Linked DNA regions of Notamacropus eugenii. The protein of the gene in region 4 interacts with the protein of the main gene of each other region in a pairwise test. Links are inferred from orthologs where the notes say so. Each region holds a gene or a part of one and is shown on either strand. Other genes may lie near its edges. The genes, in order: beta-crystallin B2, gamma-crystallin D-like, LBH and CRYAB.

What was found.
Region 1: the proteins of CRYAB (region 4) and beta-crystallin B2 interact in a two-hybrid assay, tested with the Homo sapiens proteins (2 studies listed by BioGRID and IntAct). The link is inferred for Notamacropus eugenii from reciprocal best matches to the Homo sapiens genes CRYAB and CRYBB2.
Region 2: the proteins of CRYAB (region 4) and gamma-crystallin D-like interact in binary tests that used the Homo sapiens proteins (3 or more experiments, as listed by UniProt). The link is inferred for Notamacropus eugenii from reciprocal best matches to the Homo sapiens genes CRYAB and CRYGC.
Region 3: the proteins of CRYAB (region 4) and LBH interact in a two-hybrid assay, tested with the Homo sapiens proteins (2 studies listed by BioGRID, with this or other methods). The link is inferred for Notamacropus eugenii from reciprocal best matches to the Homo sapiens genes CRYAB and LBH.

Annotation. Positions count from the first base shown.
Region 1 is NC_092875.1:21,054,017-21,061,404, forward strand, and holds the start of beta-crystallin B2, read right to left. Parts: upstream 3,018-7,388; 5' UTR 2,646-3,017; intron 1,931-2,645; 5' UTR 1,857-1,930; coding exon 1,798-1,856; intron 1-1,797. UniProt on the Homo sapiens protein: Crystallins are the dominant structural components of the vertebrate eye lens.
Region 2 is NC_092877.1:305,337,023-305,343,227, forward strand, and holds gamma-crystallin D-like, read right to left. Parts: upstream 2,169-6,205; 5' UTR 2,155-2,168; coding exon 2,080-2,154; intron 1,985-2,079; coding exon 1,742-1,984; intron 788-1,741; coding exon of another isoform or gene 785-787; coding exon 512-784; downstream 1-511. UniProt on the Homo sapiens protein: Crystallins are the dominant structural components of the vertebrate eye lens.
Region 3 is NC_092872.1:532,390,133-532,397,118, forward strand, and holds the start of LBH (protein LBH), read left to right. Parts: upstream 1-3,971; 5' UTR 3,972-4,233; coding exon 4,234-4,259; intron 4,260-6,986. UniProt on the Homo sapiens protein: Transcriptional activator which may act in mitogen-activated protein kinase signaling pathway.
Region 4 is NC_092876.1:142,265,859-142,273,485, forward strand, and holds the start of CRYAB (alpha-crystallin B chain), read left to right. Parts: upstream 1-4,601; 5' UTR 4,602-4,979; coding exon 4,980-5,177; intron 5,178-6,523; coding exon 6,524-6,646; intron 6,647-7,627. Other genes in the region: HSPB2 (heat shock protein beta-2), read right to left, coding at 2,310-2,764, 3,480-3,573. UniProt on the Homo sapiens protein: May contribute to the transparency and refractive index of the lens. Has chaperone-like activity, preventing aggregation of various proteins under a wide range of stress conditions.

The DNA.
Region 1 (7,388 bases), on a different chromosome or scaffold from region 4:
ACTGTTGTCCACACTGCTACCCAAGTCATCTTCTTAATGCATCTTTAGGACTGTGTCACTCCTATCCTCAAAAACTTTCAGTGACTCCTGAAAAATGTAAACTCCTCATTCAAGCTACACTGATCTACTTCATAATAATCATATTAATAACTAACATCTGTATAGTGCCTACTCTATGTGCCAGATACTATGCTACGCATTTTACAACTACTATTTCAACAACCCTGCCAGGGAGGTGGTTTTTATTATCCCCGTTTTACAGATGAGGAAATCAAAGCAAACAGGTTAAATGACTTGCCCAGGGGAACACAGTTGGTAAGTATCTGAGGCTAGATTTGAACCCAGGTCTTTTTGACTCCAGGCCTTGCATGCTATCCACTTCACAACCTAGCACACACACATTCCACCTTTGGGCTCTTTATCTTTGCATTGATCTGTCCCCCATGTCCACAATGTTCTCCCTCCTTCCTTTGCCCTCCTGGCTTCCCTGGTTTCTTTCAAGACTCAACTCAAATCCTGCAGTCTTCATCCTGCTACCACTCACTGCCCCTACCTTTCCTTCTAAGCCCACCCTCCACTTACCCTGTATATATCTTGTTGGCCCATAAATGCTTCCATATTGTCTAATTTATTAGAGTGTGGGTCCCTTATGGGAGGGGACTGTGAGCTTTGCCCTTCTTTGAGTCCCTAGTACCTGGCACACAGTATGTACTTAATAAGTGCTTACAGACTAATTGAGTCAAGACCTCCCCAATCCAGGTCCCCATTATCTCATTCTATTTTGCTCTATATACTCTGTGCCCTAGTCAGACTGCAATATTCTCCTCTCCCCCTTTCTTCCAGAAAGCCCCCCCCCCTTCCATCCCCATCTCCATCGCCCCTTCTCAAATTCCTTGGAAGATTTCACCTTTATCCTTCTCACCATCTATCTCATATTAGAGTTTTGTCACAACCCCTTCCTAACAGGCCCCATGCTTCTTGGGTCCTTTGTCCATCTTTGTACCCCTGGACTGAGGACAAGGAGATGCTTGATGAAACTTTGTCCTCAAAGAGGACATATGAGAAAATACTTTCACTCACTCTTTTCAAGAGGTGGGGGTACTTGGGTGTGGAATATTACATATGTTATCAGATTTATATATATATATATTGATCAATTTTGTTGCTCTCTTTATTGTCTCACTCTTTTTTTAAGAAATGATTATTTCTCTTATAAAGGATGTCTTTTTGGAAATGGGAAGGAAAAGAGACTCATGGAGAAATCTTAGCTTATGGGCAGGTAGGCGGCAACGTGGCTAGAGTATCAGCCCAGGAGTCAGAAGTGAGTTCAAATTTAGCCTCAGGCATTGACTAGCTGTGTGACCATGGGCAAGTCACTTTTTGCCCCAATTGCCTCAAAAAAATCCAAAAAACAAAGGAAAAGATCTTTTAAAAAATTATTTCAAAATAAATTAGGAGTTAAAACCCTGTCTGCTCCTTCTTAAAAAAGTAAACAAAAATGAATGTTTCTTGCATTGAGCTGAAAATCTAATTGATAGAAGGAGGAAGTCAGAAAATGACCACCCAAGACTGGCAATCTTTCTAGACCATAGCTAGGGTTTGTCCATCTCTTAAGCTGGGCCTCTAAGTGTCCTGGAGAGAGGGATTCCTTTGAACATGATTAAGTCCCTATGGACTGTAGCCTTGTCAGAGTTCGGTCCTGCCAGGCTCACCACCTTTCCTGCCCTTTCTGAAATTTCCCATGTGGAGAGGCCCCCCCCCCCGCACCCCTGTTGGGAAGAGGAAGCCCATACTCACAATTTGCAGGGGTCTAAGGGAGAGGAGACTGTCACTGGTATGACTGTTGGACCAGGCATCCCACCTGGGATAATCTCCCTTTTCTAGGACAAACTGTTCTCCTCGGAAGGCGCTGCGTTCAAATGCCAACCATCTGGAATAAGAAAACCCAGCCTGATCTCAGCTGGAGGAGGCCAAGAAGCTGGTTGGGCAGCATGACGCCAGGGAGAGAGAGGGTACAGACTGGGCAAGACCCCATGAAAAGACAGCTATCCAACCAGGACAGATGGAGGGACGTCATCTGAGACTTTGGCCAAGTTCTCACAAAGCTGGCTCCATCCACACCCCAAAACTTCAAAATCCCACAGAGGTAGATGATGGCAACCAGAAGAGATCCCTAGATCCCAGTGATCCCTCATTTACAGATGGAGAAACTGAAGCAGAGGCAGGTTTAGAACAAAAAGGGTCCTTGGATGACAGATTATTAGAAAGAACACAGAATGTTAGGATTGGGAGGGGCCTTAAAACAGAGAAAGTCAGAGCAGGGCTGGATATTGGAACACAGAATGTCAGAGCTGAGAGGACCCTTAGAGCACAAGAGCACCAGAGCTAGCAGGAATCATCTAGTACAGTCTCCCCATTTCACAGGTGACAAAACAGGTCCAGAGAAGTGCGAATGCGTGCTCCCCATCACAAGGCTAGCTGTGCCCAGAGCCAGGATTCCAAGCTTCCCTCAGACTTTCAGTGCAGTGCTTGACCTCAGGTCAGATGGTATATGGTCTCCTTTGTCTGGTCACTTGGGCTCTTTGTACGCTGGACCCAGAAAACCTCGACCTCCCCACCCCCCACTTTGTACATGCAGCACTTACGGGCCAGATTCCACCTGGATGGAGCCCACCTTCTCTAGCAGACTTTCAGTCAGGTTGGGGCACTCAGTGGAGAAGTCATACTTCTTTCCCTGAAAGTTCTCCAGCTCATAGACTGAGACCTAGAATAGGCAGGGTGCCTGTGAGATCCTCCGAACAAGGCCCTTGTCCCTCTTTGGCTTTTTCCAAGCTTGGGCTCTCCCCAACCCTGACTAGATCTTTGCTTCTCAGAAACACTAGGCAAATCCTGAAGCAATCAGGCAGGTATCTGGAGGAGAAGGCCTATACTTCCCTCTGCTGGCCAAGCAAATCTGACTCAGCCTGGCACTCTGGGCTTTGTGCCACCAATGGGCCCAACTGCCTGAGCTGCCCTGGACAAGATATCTTAGGGAACAGCCCTAGGACATGGCCCCTCAATGGAACCTGTGATCTGCCCCCTTGTGCCAGACTCTGGCTTACTTGATTAAAATCATAGAATATTAGAGCTGGGAGTACCCTTAGAACAGAATATGTCAGAGTCGGGAGGAGCATTAAAAGAGAGAATATAAAAATTAAAGCTCCAGTTGGATCAGGGACATACCCCGAGTTTTCACCCCATCTGGCTACATATCTGTGGCCTGGGTGATTGTCTCTCCCTCCCAGTGGCTGTAAGCTCTGAATACAGCCTTGTTGAGGAGAGGGAGCCCAGAGCCCTAGGGTCCATCTAAGCCCAAGGATGTCCATCCCCCCATGAGCCCCACACCGTACCTTGAAGGGTCCCCCTAAACCTCCATGGCTTTTCCCAGCAGCCGCCTGCTCTGGGACACTTTGCTGCTCCATCATCTTATCACAAAGATGTCTAGATGCCAAAAAAAAAAAAAGTTGCCAACTGAGAGTCTTAGCTAGGTCATTCTGAAGCAAGGGAAGGATCCAATTGACTGGGATTTGGGCGAAACTCTCTCAAAATCACATTCTGTGAAAGATTTTCAGTCTGTGGAAAACGCTTCACACCCAGTCATACCTGAAGGCAGTGATCCACACAGGTGGCCATACAGAGAAGCAAGCAGACACACACACACTTGCTGTGACCCACCCACACTTGGACATAGTCATGCACATGGTAGTACATATGGCCACTCTCCCAGACACAATTATGGGATGTCTGAGGACTGGGTTACTCGTGATGGTCAAAACCCAAGAGAAAACTGGACTTTGTGGTGAAAGTCAATCTCCCCATTCATCGGTCTCTGGGACTGGCCCAGCTCCCAGCTGGAATTCAGGGCCCCAGAATGAAATGTTCCACTTTCCCAGACTTTCCCAGTGGCAAAGTGGGGTCACAAACTGCTTCAGCCTTAAATAACCACAGAAATTGGGTCACTGTCCCCCCTCCCCAAACCAGAAGGGGCTGCCCCAGCCTCAAGGCAAATGAGGCCTCTCCAAAGAAGACAATCCCTGCCAAGATCTCACGGTTGGAGACCAATGTTACTACCCTCCTCGCCCCAATACAAATCAGGTTTCCATGCTGTGGCCTTGGACAAGGGACCGATGGCCTTCCCAGGTCCTTCCATCCAGCAATAACACCCAAAATGAACCCGAAAGCCTGAGTAGTGATTGATCCTCATTCCCTTAAATCAATCCCACCCACCCCCCCAAAAAGAGATGTGCACCACCCCTCCTCCCTCCCTCCCTAGCCTCTGTTACCTCTTAGAGGGAAAATGGATCAGCAGGACTGGGGCTGGATCTCCCCCTGGTCCCTATTTATGGCAGCTTTATGACCAGACCAGCACATTCTGCCCTGCTGCGCCAGCAGCTCTGTCTACTAAATTCCCTCCAACTGACTTCACTTGAATAGAAGGGGCCCAGGTGCCGGTATACGGGATTCCTCCTGTCCACCGTTTCTAGCTGGACAGTGTATAGCAGTGGGGATCGCTCTTCCCTCCCAACCCCCTCCATCTCACTCCATCAGCATTATTTCAGGAAAAGAATGGAGAGGGGCATCGAGGTGAAAGAAACCTTGAATGGGGGTAATAGAGTATCCCTAGCCATGGCAGAGAAATAAACTCTCCAAGCTTGTGGGGGCCAGGGCAAAGCGAGGAAAGTGAGGATGAGGGTGAGACCTGGCTCAAAGGACCATAGATGTATAACGGGAAAGGGCCTAAGAGATCACTTAGTGTAACTCCATTTTACAGATGGAGAAACTGAGGTGCAGAGAGATTGAGTGACTTGCCTAGCATCACACAGCAAATAGGTGGATTCAAACCCAGATCTTACTGAATCCAGGTCCCGTGCTTTAAGTTCTATGGGTCATGGGATGCAAGTTTCTTTGTAACACGGAACTTAATACCCATGGTGGGCAGTTTCAAGGCCAGACCACAAAAGCTAGGTTTTAGATCTCATGTAGCTGAATTGGGGTGCCAAGACTGCCAGAGAACACATTCCAATCTGGGGTATCCCCCAGATGCTTTCTAGTTGTGAACGCCAAGGTCTCAGAAGAGCAATGGCCAGAGACCAATACATGCATGGGAAGCAGTGTAAATGCTCTAGAAAAGGAGGAAGAAAGGAAATAAACATTTATGAAGTGCCTACTATGTGCCAGGCACTGTGCTGAGCTCTTTACAAGTAGGATCTCATTTGATCTTCACAACAACCCTGGGAGGAAGGGGCTATTGTCACCCCCATTTTACAGATGAGTAAACTGAGCCTGAGAGGGGGAAGGGGAAGGGGTTTCTTCAGAGTCACACAGTATATCATGCAGGCAGGATTTGATCTTAGGTCTTCCAGTTTCCAAGTTCAAAATAAAAGAATAAAGCACACTCTATGTATTGAGCAACCTATGCTGCCCTGAATGTTGGAATATTATCATTACTATATTAAGTAACAGAGGAAATAAGATGTCTCTGAGAGATACAATTTGGACAGAGTAAATCAGGGACAAGATTAACAAGGGAAGTTGGTCTAGGCGAGGGACAGAGAAAAGTTCAGAAAAGAAGACGGCCCTAGCTCCCAGCATGCTCCTGGTCCAGTGGATAGGACCATAGGCTTGGAGTTGGGTCCTCTAGGCCAAGTCCAGTACCTTCCTTTGTAGATGAGGAAACTGAGGTCCAGAGCTGGGAAGAAACTTGTCCAAGGTCACACAGCTAGCCAGCATCAGAGGCAGATTTTGACCTTGGTCTTCCAGACTCTAAGACTGATGCTCTGTAGGACAGTGGATGCAACAAAGGCCCTGTGTTCAAGGACCTTAGAATTCAGTTGTTGAAAGGGACAAATCCACAATAATTAGAATAGAATGCCCAGTGACAGTGTGCAAAAAGAGCAGCTCAGGGCAAGGAGGCAGCAGAAATTGTTTAAAGGGCAGAATGTTTCCAAATGGAAAGGAAAGAAGGCTCGGGAACAGCTTCGTGGAGAACAGCCAGTGAGCAAGAAGAGATGGGAGGTGGTGGTATCCATTCCATCCAAAAGAACTGGGTAAGTCACAGAGAGAGTAGGAGTCAAGATAAGACCAGGCCAGTCTAGCTTGACTGGAATATGAATGAGGGGTAGGATGAGATGGGAAAGCTCCTTGGAAGCTAGGTAAGTATGAGCAGCCTTGAATGTCAAAACAATGATACTAACAGTGGACATTCCTATGACTCTTTAAGGTTTGTGATATAATAATAATGATGATAGGACAGCTAGATGGTTCAGTGGTTAGAGCTCTGGACTGAGAATCAGGAAGGACTGAGTTCAAATCCAGCCTCAGACACTAGCTGTGTGACCCTGGGGAAGTCACTTCATCTTGTGTGCCTCAGTTTCCTCATCTGTAAAATGAGCTGGAGAAGGAAATGGTGAACCAATCCAGTATCTCTGTCAAGAAAACCCCCAATAGGGTCACAGACAAGACTGAAGTGATTTTACAACAGAAATCACAAAGTGCTTTGCAAATATATTTCATGTTATCCTCCCAAGGATCCTGGCAGGTGGATGAGAGGTAGATTATCTCCATTTTACAGATGAGGAAGCTGAGGGTGAGAAAGGTTAGGTGATTTGCCCATAGCTACTAAGTCAGAGACAAAGATTGTCTACTAAGATCTACCCAGTTCCCATTCAAACCTTCTATCTGCTGTGCCACCTAGTGGCTACAACATGACTTATACACACTGTTTCATTTGATGTGCTTACACCTGCATTCAGGTCATAGGGGAAGTCACAGGAAGCTGGGTTCAGGAGGAGTTCAAAGAATCCAGTTTCTCTAAAGATTGGGACATCTAGTACAAGAAGGTAATGAAGCCAGAACCAGCATCTGGGGAAATTACTGGTGACCCACTCTTCCTCCAGGTAGCCAAGGAGAGCTTGGTCCCCAGAAAGCAGAAAAACAAAATAAAAGAAAAACTTCAGACTTCTGGAAGAACTGGAAGGACTGCATGGAGATATCTGGGATTCAGGGAAAGATCCAGAGACTGGGAGAGCTAAAGGGGCCTTTGAGAATTTGAAGGAGCTGACATTTAGCGATCATAAACTGTCTTATATGGTTCAATTTTAACCCGTATTTTCCCACAAGTTTTCTATTTAGGATCCACCCTCCCCAACACTTTGGAAGCCTTCCTCCGTTTCCTTTGGTCTCTTGGGCAAACTATTATAAGACCAGAGTCTAAGGGTGGGGAACAGCCCCTACCCCATTTAATCACAGAAAGCCCAGATATTGGATGGATTGAAATTAATGAACTGAATCCATTTAGGAAATTTAAACTAGATGCGAACAAGTGTTGAATCAATCTGAAAGGATCGCAG
Region 2 (6,205 bases), on a different chromosome or scaffold from region 4:
CAAGGTTAGCCATTTGTTTCTCATTTAACTATCAGCATCATATATATATATATATATATATATATATATATACATATATATATATATATATATACACGTGTGTGTATATATATATGTATGTATATATATATGTATATCTATGTGGAGAGGGAGAGCGAGAGAGAGCGCAATCATATGTTTTGTTTTAACAGGACAAACCTACTTTTTATCTCATACTCAAGGTTTGGTCATTTCAGCCTCCTGCTTTTGCCCCAAGGTCCAGGTATGTCTTTTCCCTTCCCATCCTTCTAAATTTTGCCCAAGATTTACCTTCTCCTTAAAACTTTCCTTGATGAATTCTCCAGAAGGCAAGTTACCCCCATTCATCTCAAAGCCTTTCAGTACTAAAGCATTTACAACTGTATTTATTCATATGTAATATAAAATAAACACTGGAGACATTACATGCCAATAATACAAACTAAATACTTTATTAGGTTCCAAAATGAGAAGATGGTAGCATAAGCAGATTTCAGTATAAATCTATAACCCGCTTTAAAGAGCCTGCCTTGGTGTTCATGGCTCCCCAGTCCAGGTATCTCCTGTACTCTCCAGGTCTCAGCAGGAACTGCCTTCCTCTGTAGTTGGGCAGCTCATAGAGGACCCAGCAGCCTTCTAGCACGTTGAAGGAGTGGACTTCATTCAGTCGGAAACGGTCATAGATACAAGGGCAGTCATCGGTGAGCTCTGACATTAAACCTTTGCATTCTTCTCTCTCATACAGTCTTATCCTGTGGGAGCCAGTCTGCTTGGGCAACAAACAGAAGGAAAAAAAACCCCAACAAATTGAGCCATTTTCAGAATTCAGCTCATTGATAGTTTAGCATGTTAATATATTTTCATTGGATGAATAGATGAAATAAATAGAAATTCTGAAATTACTTGGTGTATTTCTGATATTCTTTTGATCTGTTTTTTATAGAGGCTAAATCATTAAATATATCTTCTTATGACTTTCTTCTATTTATTGTATAGGATAAAGAAGCTTAACAGGGACCACATTATAACAAAGAAGAAGATAAGAATATATTCTTCCAGGAATTGCTATTGCTAATATTTTTTACTCCTGACCTGGAGTCAGGAAGATCTGAATTCACATATGACCTCAGATATTTACTAGATGTGAGATTCTGGGCATCTTAACCCTTAACCCTTCTTTGCCTCAGTTTCCTCATCTGTAAAATGGAGACAATAAGAGCACCTATCTCTTAGGGTAGTTGTGAAGATGAAATGAGATAATATTTGCATGAGGCACATAGTAGGCACTATATAAATGCTTATTCCCTTCCTCTTCCCCCTACTTCCAAATGATCTGTAGAAGAATTTGTCTACTTCTTACTTTCTGAATGTCTGCATCATAGGGCCACAGTTAGCCGCATCATAGGGCCACAGTTAGCCTATATATTACTTGATGGCTGTTTTTGCTTTTCATTTCTGAACAATTTCTAAAAATGGACTTTTGAAATTATTTCAGAACCACCAAATAATGCTAGTAGATATAATAAAAGCAACTGATTATTTTCTATAGTCATAAGTTCTTTCCTAGAGTGCATTTCTCAGCGTCTTCTTGGGCATTTCTGCTGTGTTTATCTGTATTTGGGTCACAGTTTGAAACTCGCTAGACTTTTCTCTTCTTTTCTTTTTTTTCTTTGAGAAAAACTTTCTGGCCCCCTAATTTTTAGCTCACGGAGGCAGAACTCACTTGAGGTATCAGACAACAGGACCGAATAGTGTCATTAAAGCCCATCCATTGCTGGTAGTCAGGATATTCTCCCCTTGTCAGGTAATACTGATGTCCTGAGTAATTAGGATGCTCGTAAATCATCCAGCAGCCACTATCCACCCGGATGGAGTTGCAGCGGCTGAAGTAGGCCTGCAGGTTGGGGTAGTCGCTACTACACTCATAGCAGCGGCCCTGGAAGCCTCTGTCCTCGTAGAAGGTGATCTGCAGAGGGAGAAGAATTCATGGCTCTTGTTTCCTCTCATCCTGCCCCTTAAATTGTGGCACCCTTCCCCTGCCCCTGGCAATACTTTACTCACCTTTCCCATGTCTGGTTGGTGATGGATGCAGTGTCCTCGGGGGAGCGGCAACAGCCGCTCGTATATATAGAGCATTTCTGCTGCTGCATTGGCAAGAACAAAAAAGGGGCCCAGTTTGGTGCGTAAGGGGATTTTGTGGTTTGCTTTTTGATTCTGTCGTTAGTGAAGAGTGTGCTATGCTCTGCTTTCTCTCTGGTGCATTCTAGTACTGTCCTATACTTGCTATTGGGGGAGGAATATAACCATTGGGACAAAGACAGTTCATTGTTAACTGACTGTGTTTGGGTCCTTCTTTGTTCTGAAGTGCACAGTTCTGCCCCATATGATAGTCGATTCTCATTTCTTGCTTTTCCTCTATGTTTAGACACAATATAAGCAATGTGTCTTCTGGAAGTTTTCTCAGGAAAGTGGATGTGGGTTGAGTGTTGGACTAGGAATCACAAAAATCTTTAAAATCCTGGCTCCTAACTGCATAACCCAGGGCAAGTCACTTAGCCTATTTCTGCCTTGTTTTCCGCATCTGTAAAATAAGGATAAGAAGAGACCCTATTTTCCAGGTTTGCTGTGAGGATTGAATGACATAACATTTATAAAGTGTTCTGTTCTATATAAATGCTAGTTTTTATTATTATTATATTAGATCACAAGTGAAACAAACTTTGTGTTAAGTTTATGTGAAAATATCATAGAGATTCTCAGAGAGGCTGCCCATACTTCAGAGGATGGCAGCTGCCAACTGATTACAGCTAGATACTGTAACAGTAAGCACCCCAACATACATGGGAGACCTGCTATCACAGGTTCTTTGATCTGCTTCTCTTAAAGGAAAGACAAGCACATGTATCATTCAGTTAGTTCAGGGGAAAAATCAGCACACTGGACTTCAGAGAAAATACAGAGAGATCTATTTTTCTTTAAATTATTAATTTATTTGTTTTCAGTTTTCTACAACCACTTCCATGAGTCTTAGATTTTCTCCCCTTTCCTCCTCATCCCCTCCCCGACATGGCATGCAATCTTATATGGGTTCTACAATACATTCTTATTACATTTTCACATTAGTCGTGTTGCAAAGAATTAAAATGAATGGGAGAAACCATGAGAAAAAACAAAACGAAATAAAATATAATATAAGAGAAAAATATTCTGCTTCATTCTGTGCTCCAGTTTCATAGTTCTTTCTCTGTATGTGGATGGCATTTTGCCTCAAGAGTCCTTTGGGAATGTTTTACGTCCTTGCATTGCTGTGAAGGGCTAAGTCTACCAGAAAAATTCCTCACACACTGTGGTTGTTGCTGTGTACAGTGTTCTCCTGGTTCTGCTCTTTTCACTCAGCATCAGTTCATATAAGTCCTTCCAGGCCTCTCTAAAGTCTTCCTGTTCATCATTTCTTATAGAAAAATAGTATTCCATTACATTCATACACCACAACTTGTCCAGCCATTCCCCAGCTGATGGGCATCCCCTCAATTTCCAGTTCTTGGTCTGGGGAGCTGCTATAAATATTTTTGTATATACAGAACCCTTTCCCATTTTCATGATCTCTTTGGGATATAGTTCTAGAAGCTATATTGCTGGGTCAAAGGGTATGCAGATTTTTGTAGCCCTTTGGGCTCCAAATTACTCTCCAGAATCATTGGATTAGTTCACAGCTCCACCAACAATGAATGAATTAGTGTTCCAACTCTCCCACATCTTCTCCAACATTTATCTTCTTTCCTGTGTTGTCATATTAGTCAATCTGATAGGTATGATATGGTACCTCAGAGTTATTTTGATTTACATCTCTCTAATTAATAGTGATTTAGAGCATTTTTTCATATGATTATAGATAGCTTTAATTTCTTCATCTGAAAACTCCCTGTTCATATCCTTTGACCATTTATCAGTTGAGGAATGACTTTTATTTTTGTAAATTTGACTCAGTTTCCTATATATTTATATATAGAGAATATATATTCTCTCTATATCTATCTGTCTATCTATCTATCTATCTATCTATCTATCTATCTATCTATCTATCTATCTATCAAAATACAGAGAAATCTAAATCAACAGACAGCATTTCCTATGTCTGACCATAATCAAAACACATATTACAAATCAACAGATAGATCCAACTGTCTGACCATAGTTACCAGGGAGGGAAGTAACACTTGAGTTTTCAAAGCTGAGGGGCTGCTTAGTTGCTTTCCCAGAGTCTTATCTAGCGCACAAACCTTCTTCCAAAAACTAAGCCCCAAAGTAAAACTGTACCTTAGAGTCTTTATACACTTTTTGGAGCCAGAGGGGATCATATTCCTTGAGAACCAGTGCTTCATTAACTAAAGGTGTGGACCTTCCTACAAATCTTGCTAGGCCCATCAATGGGTGGGATAGTTCCTCCTTAATCACATTATTCAATCAAAGGTATTATACTTCTTGATTATACCAAAATAAAACAACAAAAGATCCTCCTTTGCTTTCCCTTACAATCCACCCTTCCTGTTAAGGTAAGAATGGTCTTGGGCAGGTAAAGGTGAGGGCTTCTTGAAACCGCCGAACTCTCACGAGGCCCCCCAGAGAACAGCTGGGAATTGAGGAGTGAGATACGAGTTATCTCGTTTTGCATCTCTTCTCAGTGGAAACTTGCTGGGGAGAGCATCACACCCTTGAGATTGGTCCGTGGTCTGAGCACACCTTTTGTTAATTGGCTAAGGGGCTGAGAGCACGGTGTCCATGAGTGAACTAGCAGGGGGAGAGCTTAAATGAGGACAGGAAAGCCTGAGAGGGGGTTGGGTTCTTCCTTGCTCCTCGGGAGGGAGAAGGGGGCTCCCATGGGGGGCTCCCATGGGGAGCACTCACCCTGCATGCTGACATGTAGCTTGTATCCGGAATAAAGCCTACACCTCTGTTTGACTCTGGAGGTCTCTTCTCTCATATGTTTATCTGGCTGGCCACCGAAGACCTGATATAGGTAAGAGGACCCGGGCAGCCCATGGCATTAGGCCGGTCACCTTCCAGGATCCTTGGCCTTACAATCTAAATGGCCATGGATCTTGGAACAAATAGAGGCATTATGCTTCTTGATTATACTAAAACAAAAACAGTAAAAGATCCTATTTTACTTGCCATTACAGACACCAACTGCCAGTTACAGTGAAAACAACATTGAACTTGGAATAAGAAAATGTCTCTTCAAATTCTGAGTCTGACATTCATTGCTATCTCTGTGATCCTGGGCAGATCACCTCAGCCTCTAGGTGTCATAGCATTGAGCATTGGACCTTGGGTCAGGAAGATCTGAGTTCTAATTTGACCATGGACAGGTAATAGCTGTGTGATTTGCTGGCAACTCACTTGTCTCTGCCTCAGTATCCTCATCTGTAAAAGAAGGACCATAATAAAATCAAAGTCAGTTAATAACAACCATTCTAACTGGGGTGATAACATGTACATCAAAATAAATACATAACATATAAGATGAATAAAAGGCGATTATAATAAGAAGGGAGGTCAAATGAAAAGAGAGTGTGCACTAGGCATGGGAATAACGAATCCAAAGGCATGGAGATAGGAGACAATGAACTATGTATATGAAGCAGTGAGTAAGCCAATATGACTAGATTGAAGAATATAAGGAGGAAAGCAATGCATTAAAAACAAAAAACAAAATTGGAGAGATAAGATAGGATTAGGTCATGAATAGTTTTAAACACCAAATAAAAGAGATTATATCTGATCCATCCGACAATAGGAACTCCTGGAGGTTATTGAGCAGTGAGTGAGGTGACATGAATGGACCTGTACTTTAGGAAAATTTCTTTGACAGTTGTGTGGAAGACGGATTGGAGTAGGAAGAGATTTGAGGCAAGGAGAGCATTTAGGAGGTCATTAGTCCAGACCAGAGGGGATTATAGCCTAAAGTAGGATGGTAACTATGTGAGTTGGAAGGGATGTATAAGAATATCGTTGGGAAGAGAGATTGGTAATTGAGTAGATATATGGTGTGAATGAGAGTGGGTGGGTGACTGGGAGAATGGTGATATTCTCAACTCTAATAGGAAAACTCAGAAAATGGATGAGCTTTGGGGGAAAGATGAATTCTGCTTTGGGATGACTATAGGACCTCCAGTAGGCAGACCAT
Region 3 (6,986 bases), on a different chromosome or scaffold from region 4:
AGAAACTTAGTAGCTGTGTGACCCTGGGCAAGTCATTTAACCCTGTTTACCTCAGTTTCCTCATCCGAAAAATGAAGCTGAAGAAGGAAACAGCAAACCACTTCAGTATCTTTGCCAAGAAAACCCCAAATGTGGTCAAGAAGGGTTGGGTATGGCAGAAAACAACTGAATAACACACATGAACTCTTTATTTCCTGTCTCTGTGCACTGGCTGTGGGGTCATGAAGAGCCAGGCACAACTGAACAACAAAAAAATTTTAAGTGCTTTTTAAATTATAAAACTTTATAGTGATGTTGATTGACTGAAGTCTAAAAAGTCAGGAGTTTGCATGTAACTTCTGCCACTTAGTCCTTGGATAACTTGGAGGTAAGTAACCTTACTAATTGAAGGTGTCATTCCCTCATTTGTTGAAAAAGTAACCTCTGGCAAACTATAAGTCAGCAGGACTGAACACTGTGGTAGGTGACAGAAAGATGAGAGACCTAATAAGATGGACAAATAATGAGAAATATTTTCAAGTCTTCACATAATACCTAGGCAAGGAGACATCTGCAAGGCTATAAAATTGCTATAAAATTCCCTAAAAGCTTGCTCTTCTCCCAGCTTTTTTATATCTGCTAATGTCATCCCCACCCATCATTACTAGGCATCTAGGACTGAAATCTTAGTCTATCTTTTAGTTCTTACTTTTCCCAAACGTGTTATTTCTTCCTTCACAATATTACTTAAAACCCTTCCATTCTCACCACTCACAGAATCACCATCCTAGCTTGTTATCTTGTTTGAATAATTGCAATAGCTAACTAACTTGATAGCAATAAGCCTCCATTCTGTCCCTTCTTTTATTCATTCCTCCCCTGGTTGCCTACATAATATAATGCCCAGGGCTGGCCATGTCACTCATCTACTCAAGAAGCTTCAATGACTACCTATTCCCTATATAGGATAAAATATAAACAGCTTCCTTGATCTAGCTTATTATTATTCTAGCCTTAATTCATTTTCATGCCCTCTATCTCTCTGTTCCAGCTAAACTGAACTACTAACTATTGCTAGATCTCATAAAGCATCTCCAATCTCTTTAAATTTGTTAAAGTCAGACCACAGGGCACTTGTTGAATTCCTCTACTTGTAAGGTACAGTTCACAAGTTGCCTCCTCCATGAAGCCTTCACACTATTCTAGGTTTGAAAGCGTTCTATTCTTCTTCAAACTCTCTTACAGCTCTTTGTATTTCTCCTTCGAATTTGCCATGAGTTATCTTGTAATATTATTGGTGTACATTTACATCTTCCCTATTAGAATATAAGTTCCTTGAAGGCAAAGACTGTTTTGTTTAGCATTGGCATATTCTCAGTAATTAGCACAGTTCCTAGCACAAAGTCAAGTGCCCAATAAATGTTTATTGAATTGAATCTCTAAGACGGAATATATTTAACAATTAGGTTGCATCACCAGGAAAGTCCCATCAGATCCCTACATTTTTCTCCTGGAAACTGTGCATCAGCTGGGGAGCAGGGAAAAATTCAGGACTTGATGGCCTTACCCTTGGAACACCAGTGGCCATACAAATCCCTGAACATACTCCTCTTCTTACTGCTCAATTGGGGACATTGATCTAATTTTTCTCTAGAGTTCTGAAAGTTTCCAAAAGGCAGATGACGTAGAAAAAGTGAAGTGTGGCTTTTGTAATGCAAAGTGGTGGAACATTCTTTTCCTCTAGGAAGTTTTCAGTGATTGGCTGTGAATCTGTGAGTTATATATATCTGGGGAGAAAAGGAGAAAGAAACTGGTTAGTGCCAGGCCCTCCTCAACTTCAGTCTTCATAATCTTCTCTCTGCCTTTAAACACTCCATTATCCCCCACCAGGGGTATGGTAAATATCACAGATCACAGACTTCACTGTAGTTTGCATTCTTATTTAGTTAAATAGATTACAACATCCCTCACCCCATTCAGCATCTTTGGACAGTTACCCCACCACCTCTGAAAAAAAAGTCCAAACAATTTCCCTTTGTTTCCTGTTACCTCGACACACTATGAGTATCATGTTAGTAACCTGTCCACAGAAACGTTGCCCCTTACCAAGCTACTATTTCTATAGTAAAGTCTCATAGGAGAGTTTTTCCCTCCCTCTCCCTTACCCACTGGTTGCCGGAGGTTAAGTGGAAGAACTAGAAGTAAAGAGAGATAGAGGGTGGTCTTTTCATTACTATTTAATACAAAGAAGTAAAGAAGATTCTGTGCACAGATTCCTGGCATATACTACACATTCCTCAGCCTTCCTTTTACCCAGTTTGCCTAAGGTATGCATACGATTGTGTTTTATGTACACTCACTGCCTTTCATAGAGCTCAGGCTGACTTGAAAACAGGTGTGTCTTTCCCTTTCATTCTATTGCTTTTGCCCCCACCTTTGCGGGATAGACGTGTTAATCTCTTCATTTTTTTTTTTCAGGAGCAACAACTCAGATTTAGATAAAGAAAGCAAAGGAGCATCCTTCTCAAGTCATCTCAACCCAGGCTGGCTCCCAGACTGGCCGCTGGGTGAGGGGTTGGGGGAGGGGAGTTCGGGCGTTCACAGGGACAGTGGTCAAACTAACAAGACCGGCGTGGCTATTCCAAGGCCCCTAAGGGAGGAGAGAGATTAAGAGGAATTGTCAGTTCTTTGTTTCTCTGGTCTAAAACCAGACTTCCTCCGAGCTTGGTCTGGGAGCTGGGGCTGTGGGGTGGTGTGTCCTCTCCCTGTCTGCCTCTTTCCCTTTCTCCCCCACCCGTTGCCGCGGAGTGTATGTATGTATATGTGTCGTGGAAAAAGCCCAGGATGAGACTACATTCTCTCTGGCACACACACATGTATGCATACATATATGCATGTATGTTGTGTGTGCGTAGACATTTATTTATGCACAAGTATACGCACATAGGTATTCATGCAGGCATGAATGTGCATGGATATCTAGTCCAACACATTTGAGTGAGAGGGACCCTCCGCGAACAGCAGAGACTGAAACCGATCCTTCAGAAATCACACAACTTCGGGTCGCCGTTCTACAGATTGTTTCTACTGGGCTCGGGGCTCATAGCCAGGGTCGCTCGCCTGAAATAGAACAGAACAGCTCTGGGCTTGGGAGGCTGGCGGGCTGGGGAAGGGGCGGGTTCGGAGGGACTCGGGTCCAGAGGAGGCTTCCAAAGAGGGCTACCCTCCAGGACTGCCTGGACTCTGTCTAGTGCCCAAACCTTGGGCGCGGGATGTAGGTGGGCAGCAATAGGCTAGGCAAAGGCGTGGATGCAGATGCCAGCTATCGGGGCCAGGGCAGGGTGGGGGGTGGGGGTAGCTTCAATGAATGGATGCGGAGTTGGGGGTGGGAGGGCTCTGCTTTTAAAGCACGGCTCATTTGCATTGAAATGCATGTCCATATGCACTAAAGGACTAGGATTCCACTCACGTACAGTCTTCGCACTCCCCCCCCTTTCCCATTCCACCCCATCTCTCCTTCCTACGTTCAGAGATCTCTCACCCCCTCTCTAGGAACCCAAAGGGGACAGCTTACTTTGGATGGGGGAAGGAATGGAGCGGATTGGATTTGTGATAGGGAGACATACAGCCGCAGAATCAGCCAGCGACATGCAGGGAGGAGGGGGGTCAATGTGTGCGTGACAGTGTGTGTGTGTGTGTGTGTGTGTGTGTGTGTGTGTGTGTGTGTGTGTGTGTGTGTGTGTGTGTGTGTGTGTGTGTGAGTGCGTGCGCGGGAAGGGGTGGGGGGGGAGCAGGGAGGGAAGGGGGGAGCTGCAGCAAACCAGGGCCCTTCTGAGGAGCTGAGCGGAGCCGCAGGCACTAGCTCGCAGCTACAAAACCATTCATGATTTTGGTGACGTTATTCCAGTTGTGGGGGGGAGGGAAGGCGGGGCCTCTGGGGCCCAAGACCCGCCCCCCCCCGCTCCTATAAATAGGGCTTCCCAGGCTCTTTGTGGGGCTGAGAGCTCTTTGGGAAGGGGATCGGCACGTCTGCTTGCTAGCCTTTCCTCCGGGTGGTGGTTGAGAGCGGTGGGACCCTGTGTGCCTGATATCTTGCCCTCCGGACGGGGTGTCCCGGGACGGTTAAAACCTTCGTTGCCCCTAAAAGCTCGAGAAAACTGCTGGGCACTGGGCCACTGCAGTGCCCTCTTTCTACTGGCCCGGGGACCGTTTTTTAAATATCCAAGGGTGTGGGTCAGCCTCCCTTAGGACTTCATGTCTGTATATTTCCCCATACACTGGTGAGTATTCATTCTTTACCCTTGGTGTCTGTCGTACGATGGGGTCTAAGCCAGAGGCTCTTGTCATCTCCTCCCAGAGTCGGTCCCTTTGGGGTACAGTGACTACTGAGTGCTGTGCCTTAATGAGGAGGGGCAGTTCTCCTTTCCTGGCGATCATTCAGCTAAATGCCGAAGTCGCACCTAAGGGAGACGTGTGTGTTTGTCGGGGGTTTTGGAGGACTTAAGCGCCCTGGAACCTATTGAGAGAAACCAGACAAAGACAGTGAACTTGGAGGCTTCGCATAAGTGCATGATGGCTGGGGGTACTGATGGGGGAGAGGGTGTAACAAACGTGACCAATAACCTCCCCACTCAGTTCTGTGCTCCAAACGCCCCCTCCTCAAATGAGGATTGATTTTAGAATCTCGTGAGTGTTGCTTGATTTGGGGAACGGAGACAGTCTTTCCCCGTCTTCCTCTCTTATTTTCTCCGCTGCCCTTCTCCCTCTCATTCTCCGCCCACCCACCCCTCTCCAACCCCGCGTTTTTCCTGTGGTTTGCATGCAAGTCTTGATGTAGAGTGCTGGAGATGGGTGGGCTTCAGAGGGTGCTGTGATGGCTACTGTGGTTCTGGGTGTTGGATGAGAAGAGAGCCCCCTATGGACGGGCTGGAGGGGAATGGGGTGGTGGTGGTGATAGTGGGGATAGTGGTGGTACAATATGTGTGTGCGCGCTCGAGTGTGCGCGTGTGTGCGCGCCTTCTCCCCGCACACCCTGCGAGGAACGCTGCATTCTTTTGACCCCATCGCTTTGCTTTCCCCTCCTTTCAAAGAGAAGTGCCTTTGAAAACCACTCGACTTGACTAGGAAGGGGGGAAAGCAGCTGATCAAGTCCCAGCAGCAAGAAAGGGGAGCGGGGAAAACACAAACCAGCACCCTGGGATGGATTCAAGGGTTGGGGAGGTGCGGGGGGACGTGGACTGAGGAGAGAGGCTGCACTGATGAGGGCGGGTTTGGAGGTCCTTAGGGACTGTACCGATGGGGGTGTGTTGAGATCTCTAGGGCGGTGATGCTGGATTGTTGGGAGTCTATTGAGATGCCCAGGGGCAGGGGGCTGGACTAATGGGGGTGGATGTGTGAAGATCCCTGAAGGTCTGGGGCTTTAGCAGTGGAGGGACTGTGCAGATTGCGAGGTGCGGAGGAGGAGCTGTGTGGTTTGCCGAGCCAGGCCTCAGAGTCGACCTCCTGCAGGGGCTCCGAGCTTGCTTCCTTCCTGCTGGATTCGAGCAAACATTTAGCATCTCCCCCGGGTTGGGGAGGGGGTGCCAAGGAGAGTGAGCTTGATGCCTGCAAAACCTGTTCCCACGTGTGAGAAACAGAAGCTTCTAGAGGAACCCTGGGCCCCAACCCAGTGTTTGTTTCCTGGCAAGGCGGACTTGCGTGTACCGAGCCAGAAGGGTGAAGGTAGCCGCTTGCAGCTAGCCTGAAGCTGCTAAGCTGAGATGGAGCTGGAAAGTTTGCAGCTTTTTCCTCTCCACTTTTCACAGCTGTAGCCCCAGACCTCAGCGATAAGCAGGGAAAGGCCCCAACCACTGGGCTGCAAATCTGAGGCAGCTCCAGGTCTTTCTCTCCACCACCACCACCACCCACCCCCTTCCACCCCCAGTGTTGAGAATCAGTTTACTGGGAGGGGTCCCAGGGAAGGACCTTGGACTTGGGGCAAGCAAGGGATCTGGATAGCTGAATGCTACCCCTCCCTGGGTCCCCAGTCCGACTCTCTATAGAGAGATGAACTTGATGCCCCTGGAGAAGTCAGTGTCCCTTTAAGCGGGGCGTGGCTGCTGGACTCAGGATGAGAATAACTGATGGGTTCCTCATGCCCCCATCCCCTACTTCTCATCTCAAGCTTACCCAACTGCCTTCACTGACTTCGACTAATGAGAATCCAAGTAGGCTATCAAGTCAGTGTTGACTAATCTATCTCGTTTTCAGTGGAGAGAAGCATTAATTTCTGGAAAAAATATGCCCACACCTTAGTATTTATGGCAAGGAGACAGCTTTTGTTTCCTTTCAAGCTCTGCCTCCCATGTATTTAGTGTTATTTTTTGTGTGCATGTGTGAGATAGTGAAGATGAGTGAAGGTGCTGAGGTATGTATGGAAGGCATACTCCCTATGAAATATGGGAATGGACATTGACTCCCAGAGTCCTATGCCCTTGACTACCCTGTGTGTTCAAAGTTCACACTTGGGGTATGGAAATGCTTCTTTGGCTGCTTTGTCCTTTTGAAAATGCCTGGTGCAGGCAGAGCCAGGCAGTCATTAAGGCTGTGAATGTACTTGGTGCCTTACTGGTACTGAGCTGGCCAGGGCTGTATTTGAGGTTAGAAAAGGAGGCATTGACCAATGTGAAGTTTGGAATGGTACCGACCCATCCAGGGTGTAGATAGGACATGCTTCAATTTAGAGGCACCGGGAACTATGAAGAAATTCTGAAAGCCTTCATATCTGAAACTTGTCTCTACACATGTGGGAGAAAGGGATAGACATCACTCCGATGAGTCTTTTTATAAAATGACAGTTTTGTACTTTTGTCATCATCCTCATCATTGTTAATAACAATAAAAGCATTGCAAGGAAGCAAGTTAGTTGAGATAGTTTAGAGAGAGATGAAATAACTCCTGGTGCCTTCCATTCCTAAGATGTAATGAAACCAGACAGGGAACATGGATATAGATGGCCCAGTGGGGGG
Region 4 (7,627 bases):
AATACCTTGCACATGGTAGTTGCTTAATTAACACATGTTGAATTGAATTGAATGGTAGGCATGAGCAGGCTGGGAACACATTACAAATGAAGAACTGAGGAAAAGAAGGAGGGTAAAGGATGTCATCAGAGAAATGTGTGACCAGAAAAAAAAGATGGGCTGACCAATAACAAGAGCAAGGGATGACTGTTGGGTAGTCCTCATGATTGGTATCAGTGCCAAGTGATTTAGGGGAAGTCCCTCAATGCATTGTATGGAGCCCCTATAAAAATTTATAGGAGGGCAGGGACCTTGGCAAGGACCAAGAGTTGCATGGGTTGGGAGAGCATTGGAGGTGTACCCAGCACTGATGAGATCACAGAACCTCCAGCTACTGAAGAATCAATCAATTACATTAAGGTACCTACTATACTAACATTCTTATCAGTATTCACACTTTAACTGGAGACGATAAATTAGTTAACTAATTTCTAATGGAGAATTTTCAGCTGTCAATAACAGGCTGGTGGTAGAGATAATTTGGGGAAAGTTATTGGGTGTGTGTTGCCTATTCAAGGACTGAATGAAGGGTAACTAGGGACCCAGGTTTCCAGAGCTTCCTGTATACTTAATAATTTCCCTTTCCCAGAACTTGGGGCTTCCCTCAGCACTGCTTCCCCAAGAAAGCAATAACCAGCCTTTCTGGACACGTCAACCCTGAAATAGGAGTCTGGACACCACCACCCTCTTCTTCCTCCCAGTATATGTTTGATCCTTTCCTTAAGTGGTAGAAATGATGCTAGAAACTGATGGAGCAGCTTGATTCCTACTATGGGATATTTCATGAATTAGAGTAAAATACTTTCTCTTTGGCCTGAAAGAGAGGGTAGGAGTCCATGTAAAGGTATTAATTAGATTCTATTAATTAGATTCCTCTGAAAGATTTTAGAACTCTGACACAATGTCCAACTGTGGTTCCAAAGGACCAATGATGAAGAGTGCTATTTATCTCCTGATAGAGAGGTGTTGCACTAAAAATGAAGACTGAGCCATACATTTTTGGACATGGCAAATACAGAAACTTGCTTTGCTTAGCCATGCATATTTGTTACAAAGCTGGGGAGGTGGCAGGGAGAAAAATGATTATTGAAAAAAATTTAAACTTTTGAAAATGGGTTAGGGGCAAAATACCCCAGATTTTAGTCTCAACTCTGTCTCTATCTACTAGCATGTCCTGGAGTAAGCCACTTTCCTTTATAGGCCTCAGTTTCCTCATGTGTAAAATGAAGCTGTTGATCTATATGACCTTTAAGCTCTTATCCATCTCCAAATTTAATATCTTAAGTCTCTGGGTCTCAGTTTCGTCATCTATAAAATGAAGAATTGGGCCAGATGATCTATCTATAAAAACCCCTCTAGCATCATGATATATGACTGCTATGGACACTTTGAGGCACAAGGGTGATTGTGGAGGAAGATTCCTTGCTTAATGCTTTTTCATTCATTCATTCATTTGTTCATCCACTCCTTCATTCCAGTATTCATGCTCCCTGGGTTTATTCAGTCCCTTGAAAGGGAGAACTCTGTCTAGTTGATAGAAGTAGATATCCAGGAACTGAAGGACATTGCTCTAGGCAACACTGCTTAGACAAAAACATGTTCTTTTCTTTCCCCCAGACCCCTCCCAAGTTCTGCCTTGAAAAGTCCAGACTGTCTGGAGACCCTTGTCTTTGTACCTCTAATCACCAGCCCAGACAATGCCCTCTGGCTTGTTTGGATGGCATAGCCCTCGTCCCCTACCAGGATCACTCTGGCTTTTGTTGTATTGTGAGAAAATCAGAGCTAGGAATCTGATTAGGAGTCAGTGCCAATGCCCTGCTGTTATCACAGCTTCCAGCTGCGAGCTTAGTCTGGAGTTGAGCTCAGCATATCCAAATTATGAGCGCTCTGTCCAGCCAGAAGTTCTGCAGTCTTTGTGTCTAGAACTTCTTTCCTTACTCTTAAGTCTTATTCTCCAGGCTATAGAACAGGAACAAATGCAAACAGGGCCCTGGGATTTGGATTTATTCATCTCTACCCACAGCTGAATGACAAACACATGTTCCAAGGGACTAAACTAGATAGACATTCCATTCTGGATCACTATTATCCACCCCCCACCACCCTCGGCCATGGCCCCTTCCCATCCACTTTCCCCTTCCCCTTTTCCTTCCTTTCCCCTATGAGATATAACTGTCTCTAGGCTGGTGGGCAGCTGCTTCCTTCACCATATAGCAATAGCCCTTCCTATAAGATAGAAAGGGACTTGCTTGGTGCCAGGTTTGGGATAATCAGAGTCCCATGAAGTCTCCCTCCCCTTCTTCCTCCTGGTCAGGAGGCCTAGGTAACAGAGAAATATGGACCTCATTGACCTCTGTGTCCCATTGTCTTCCTCCCCGTGGAGCCTCCAGATGAAGAATGCCATCATGGGAGAGTGCCGCCTTGATTCTCCAGGGATCGACATCAGCAGGCAGGACATAGGTACGGCAGAACTCACGAGACACAAAACCATGTCGATCCAGGCGCTGAGGATGCCGGGCAGACACCTCCAGCAGGTTGTCCACGGTCCTCACTATCACCTCATCCGGGGTAAAATGACTCACATCCAGGAAGGCCTGGAACTTGCCTTCACTAAGACGGAGCTCCGAGGCCCCTGCTCCACTGCTCTCCCCAGCTGGAGCTGCCCGTGGTCGGACATAATAGCCATGGTACAGGGTAGGAGTCAGGATCTCCTCTGGGAGTAGGCCTAAGGGGTAGATAGAAAGAAAAGATGAGGTAGGGAATAGGGATGTGATGAAGGAAAAAAGTATAAAAGGAGAATGGAAAAAGAAGAGAAAGCGTGCATGGGCAGGGCAGGAGGGAAGACCAAAAACAAAGTGTCAAAGACAGGGAAAGGTATACGGGGAGAAGAGACCACAAATTTGGAGCTGGAAAGGATTTATAGAGGCCGACTCCAAACCCCTCATTTTTTCAGACAGGAAATTGAGGCCCAGAGAGTAATGTCTAAAGTTACAACTTCAGCCACCTCTTCATTTTTTCAGACAAGGAAACTGAGGCACACAACAGGTAACTGGACCACAAGTCACATAGGTAGCAAGTGATAGGGTCAGATCTGCCTCTTCACTTCAGTGACTGGACAGAGGGAGAAGGGAAGATACAAAAATTATAATAAACAGGATGGGGGATTGGAGACAAGGGAGAGAAGAAAAGTTGAAGCCAAGAGGTGGAAAGAGAGATCCACTGTCCAGCAGGATCCCCCAGGGTCAGATGACTGTAGTAGGGGATCAGTAGGGAATGAGGCAATAACTCATGGGAAAAGTCAGTCTTAGATGAGAGATGACCAGTCTCGGGAGGTCAATTTAGTTCGAGTTGGTGGGGGGTGGGGAGTGATGGTTAGTGCGGGCTAGGAGATGAACCCCCCAAATAAATGGAGGTGGGGGAGAGGGGCGTCAATCCTGTACCTTCCCCAAATCGTTGTTCGCCCAAGCGGCTCGGATTAGCGAACTCGTACTCGGTGGTGGCCGGGTGGGCGTGTGGCACTGAGCGACCCGACATGGCCTCAGATGGACCTTCAGCCACGGATCAACCCCTGCGGACACAGCGGGCCCCTCCTGCCAGGATGAATAGCCAGGACTCTGGAAAGGACCCCGGGAAGGCTGGGGCTGGGGCGGGGTCGGCGCTGCCCAAAAATAGTTCAGAGCCTTGGGGGGAGAGGGGGAAGGCGAGCTTTGTGGATCCTGCCTTCCCTCCCCCTCCAGGTCCTTCTCGGATCCGGTTGCTCAGCTGTTCAGCTGCTCAGCTGGGTTGAGTGAACTGGATTCGGGTCCAAGGAGGGCAGGAGACTCATTCTTACTGGAGTCTTCCCAAACCCTGTACGCTCCCCAGATGACAGCACCCTAAATTCTTTTGCGTCTTCCTAAATCTAACCTGCTAGTCATCGGAGAGCTAGGTATCCAGTATTATCAGTTCAAACCTGTCCAACCTCATTTTACAGATGAGGAAACTGAGACCCAAAGAAGTGAAGGGATTTTTTTTTTTTTTTTGCCCAAGGTCACAGCGCTAATAAGTGTATGAGGCAGGCTTCCAATTCAGGTTTTTCTCACTACAAAGCCAAGGTACCATCTGCTATACCAGACGGCCTCTCAAGGAGACAAGACTGAGGTGTTATGGTGGTCTCATTCCTTTTCAAAACGTGGGTTCTAATCCCTGCTCTGCCATCCCTTTTATCTAAAATTCTGAAAAAAAAATTTTTTTTAATAAAAATAAAATTCTGTAATTTTATAAGCATGCTTCCCCCCACAACCACCCCCTACCCTATTTCCTTTCTCAGCTCACTGAAAAGACAAAAGTCCTTTCTGTCTAGAATGATGTCAAGGACTTCCCCTCATTCCTCCCTTCTACCTAGGGCAACGCACAAATGTCTAGACAATGACATAGCTTGACCACTGGTCTTCTTTCTCCAAGGAGTCACAAAGTCACAAAGAGTTAATGTCCTTGGGACCCAGCCCAGGCAGATTCCTTCCCTGCCAGTCTCTGCCTGGGCCCAAGATAGTTGCTGGCCTGATCCCCCTGGCATGTGAGACTATAGTGGTAGGGGGAGGGGCAAGCTGCTTGGGATTCCTGGCTCTGCCTTACCAAGAGGGGAGGGAGAACCATAGTGCTGAAGCTCAGCGGGTGGAGGGGTGGAACAAGGGGCGGGGAGAGCACCCATATTTGGAGACCAGGACTAGTCACTTGCCAGCTCAGATATGTTTGTGTTTCTCTTTTCTTAGCTTGGTGAGTACTGGGTGTGTGTCACAGCCAAATCCCCGATCACCAGTCCTCCATGAACTGGGATAATAAAACTCCTGACATCACCATTCCAGAAACTTCACGGGTGCTGGGTATATAAGAGGCTAACTGGAGCCTGGGCTGAAGGAGCTGCCCAGCCAGCCATACCCCACAAACTTCCTCTAGCCACCATGGACATCGCCATCCACCATCCTTGGATCCGACGCCCCTTTTTCCCTTTCCACTCACCCAGCCGAATCTTTGACCAGTTCTTTGGAGAGCATCTGCTGGAGTCTGACCTCTTCCCTACCTCCACTGCCCTGAGTCCTTTCTACTTTCGACCCTCTTTCCTTCGAACACCTAGCTGGCTTGAGACTGGACTCTCAGAGGTAAGTCTTCCCTCTGTCAGGCAATGGGCAGGTTTTTGGGGCATCAGTTTCTTGGTGCATTCCCTCTCTTTGAGCTCCTAGCTTCAGCTTTCCCAACAGAATATCTCATACCCATCTATAGCACAGATGTCTAAAGCATCTGTGCCTGGTAGTGTAGAAAGATGAGGTCACTACCAGTTTCTCAGCAAGTCTGGTCCAATTTATTTTAGACTCTCTGTGAAGGACAAAGTCGAAACATCTTATTAATAAAATCCCTTAGGACCCACTGAGGTCATCTCATGTGCCCCCAGGTTCAGGGCAGTCCCTAATCTAAGATAGGGGCTACTTTGTTGCTTTAAAGTATCCAGAAAGAAATAGCTCTGGCATTCCTTGGTCCCCTGTTCTGGTTCCTTACAATCCTTTTCTGACAATTTTTTGTTGATTTTATTTTAGTTGTATATGCTTTCTTCCAAGATTTGAGGCCACTGACCTTACTCTTAGCTTCCCTGTGTAAGACCATAAAAAGCAACTTGTTTCCCTCCTGCCTGTCAGCCTCCGAGCAGCGATTGTTGGGTTTCTTTGGGTTAGGAGGGAGTATTAGTGTAGGCTTAAATGTAAGGAAGGGGTAAGATCATTTTTTTAGTTCTTAGCTCAAATTCTGGACTCAGACTGTCCAAGACTCAGGCTCTCTACTCTGGTTTGGAAGAAGAGAGGTGAATAGACTAGGTTGACAGATAAGAGCTGTGCAACAAACAACACCTTCATTTAAAAATATTGAAGTATGAGTAAACAGGAGTCTGGTGAGTGAGTGGGCAAGGGCATTGAAAGGGCAAGCTGGGTGGTTCTAGATTAAGTGGGTGGGAAACTTGGCAGTCCCAAGGAGCAGGCAGAATTGGTCTTTGTTTTTACAGATAAATATCCAGGGGCTTGGAGGTTTTGCATTTGGCAAACTGAGAGGGGTGGGGTAGGTTGTGAACATGAGAATTATAGCCTGGCCCATCTTTTGTTTAGTGTAGACATGCTGTGGACATTCTGGCTCACACTTGGGGCATCTTTGAGAATGTCTTGGCTTCTCCCCAGGCCTATAAGCTCAGTTAAGGGTTGGTGGCCAAGGATCCCATGAGCCAGAGTTATAATTTTGTTATTTTAAGGAAAGGTATTTTCCCAGGGGGTGGGGCAAAAGGTGGGGGAGGGAAGGGAAGGAGAAAGAAAGACTTCTGGATGGAAGAGGTTTGCAGATGTGTTTTATCTCTTGGCTTATCAATACCACCTACAGGAGTGAGAGAGAGAGAGAGAAAGAGAGAGAGAGAGAGAATATCTTAACTTCCTAGGCTTCCCCTCTTCTGAACTTTCTCTGACATCTCTAGATGCGACTGGAGAAGGACAAGTTCTCAGTAAACCTGGATGTGAAGCATTTCTCTCCAGAGGAGCTCAAAGTCAAAGTGCTGGGCGATGTGATCGAGGTTCATGGAAAGCATGAAGAGCGTCAGGTATCTGACCTGTTCCTTATTGGCAGCCTTATCCTACTCCCTTACTTTGAATAGTCACTCTTCTGCTGTGTCAGGAGGAAGGAGGAACTGCTTTTGGGGGGGAGGGGGGAGGGGAGAAAGAAGAGAAGGATTCCTGAAACTCTTACAGCTGGGAGAAACCCAGTTTAGATATCCCAGTTAGAAACCATGAGATTGTCAAGGTATTCAAAGAACTCATCATTCCACTTGGAATCCATTCCTTCTCTAAACCTCTGGTTCTAAGTTTCGGAGCTGTATTTAACTCCCTGAATCCTAAGACCACATGAAAATCAGAAAGAGAGACCACTTCTTAAAGAAGTTTTGAAGGGTCAGAGAATATGAGGGAGAGGTGAGCCCAAAGCCTTGTCCTTTGGATCCTAAAGCCGGGTGCAGTCGTTCCTTATATAAAAATAGACATCAATTCCTGGGGAAGGTTTTGATGCACCTTTTCTTCTATTGCCTGGTAACATCCCAAACTGTAGGAATTGTGGCAAACTGTATTCAACCTACCCCAACAGAGTCCATTTCGGCCCAAATGTTTTGGGTTGGAATCAGGGGTGTGCTGGTGGCAACCAGCTTTCCAAAAAAAAAAAAATGTATGCAAGGTGCACTTTTAAATTTAATCTGCATTAGTAATATTTTTTTTCTATCACTTTCTTAAGTCCAGACAAGCAAAAAGAAAAATCAAGCCCTTATTTGGAGATGTAAAGATTTGCAGTGAAAATTTTACAGTTGGCTCTTAGGAGCTGGTTCAAGCTGACTCCAGCATACCCCTGGGTTGGAATGATACAAGATCAGACTAAAGATATAGAGATGGTTCTCCTTGCTCTCTGTTATTTCCAGTGCCAAGCAGACCAGAGAGTTGTAGATTTTGTCTGTCGTTCAACACACCAAGGTTAGCTGTGGAAATCCTAAATTCAAATAGGCTGTTGTGTGTGATGATCTAAATCACTGAGAAGATCT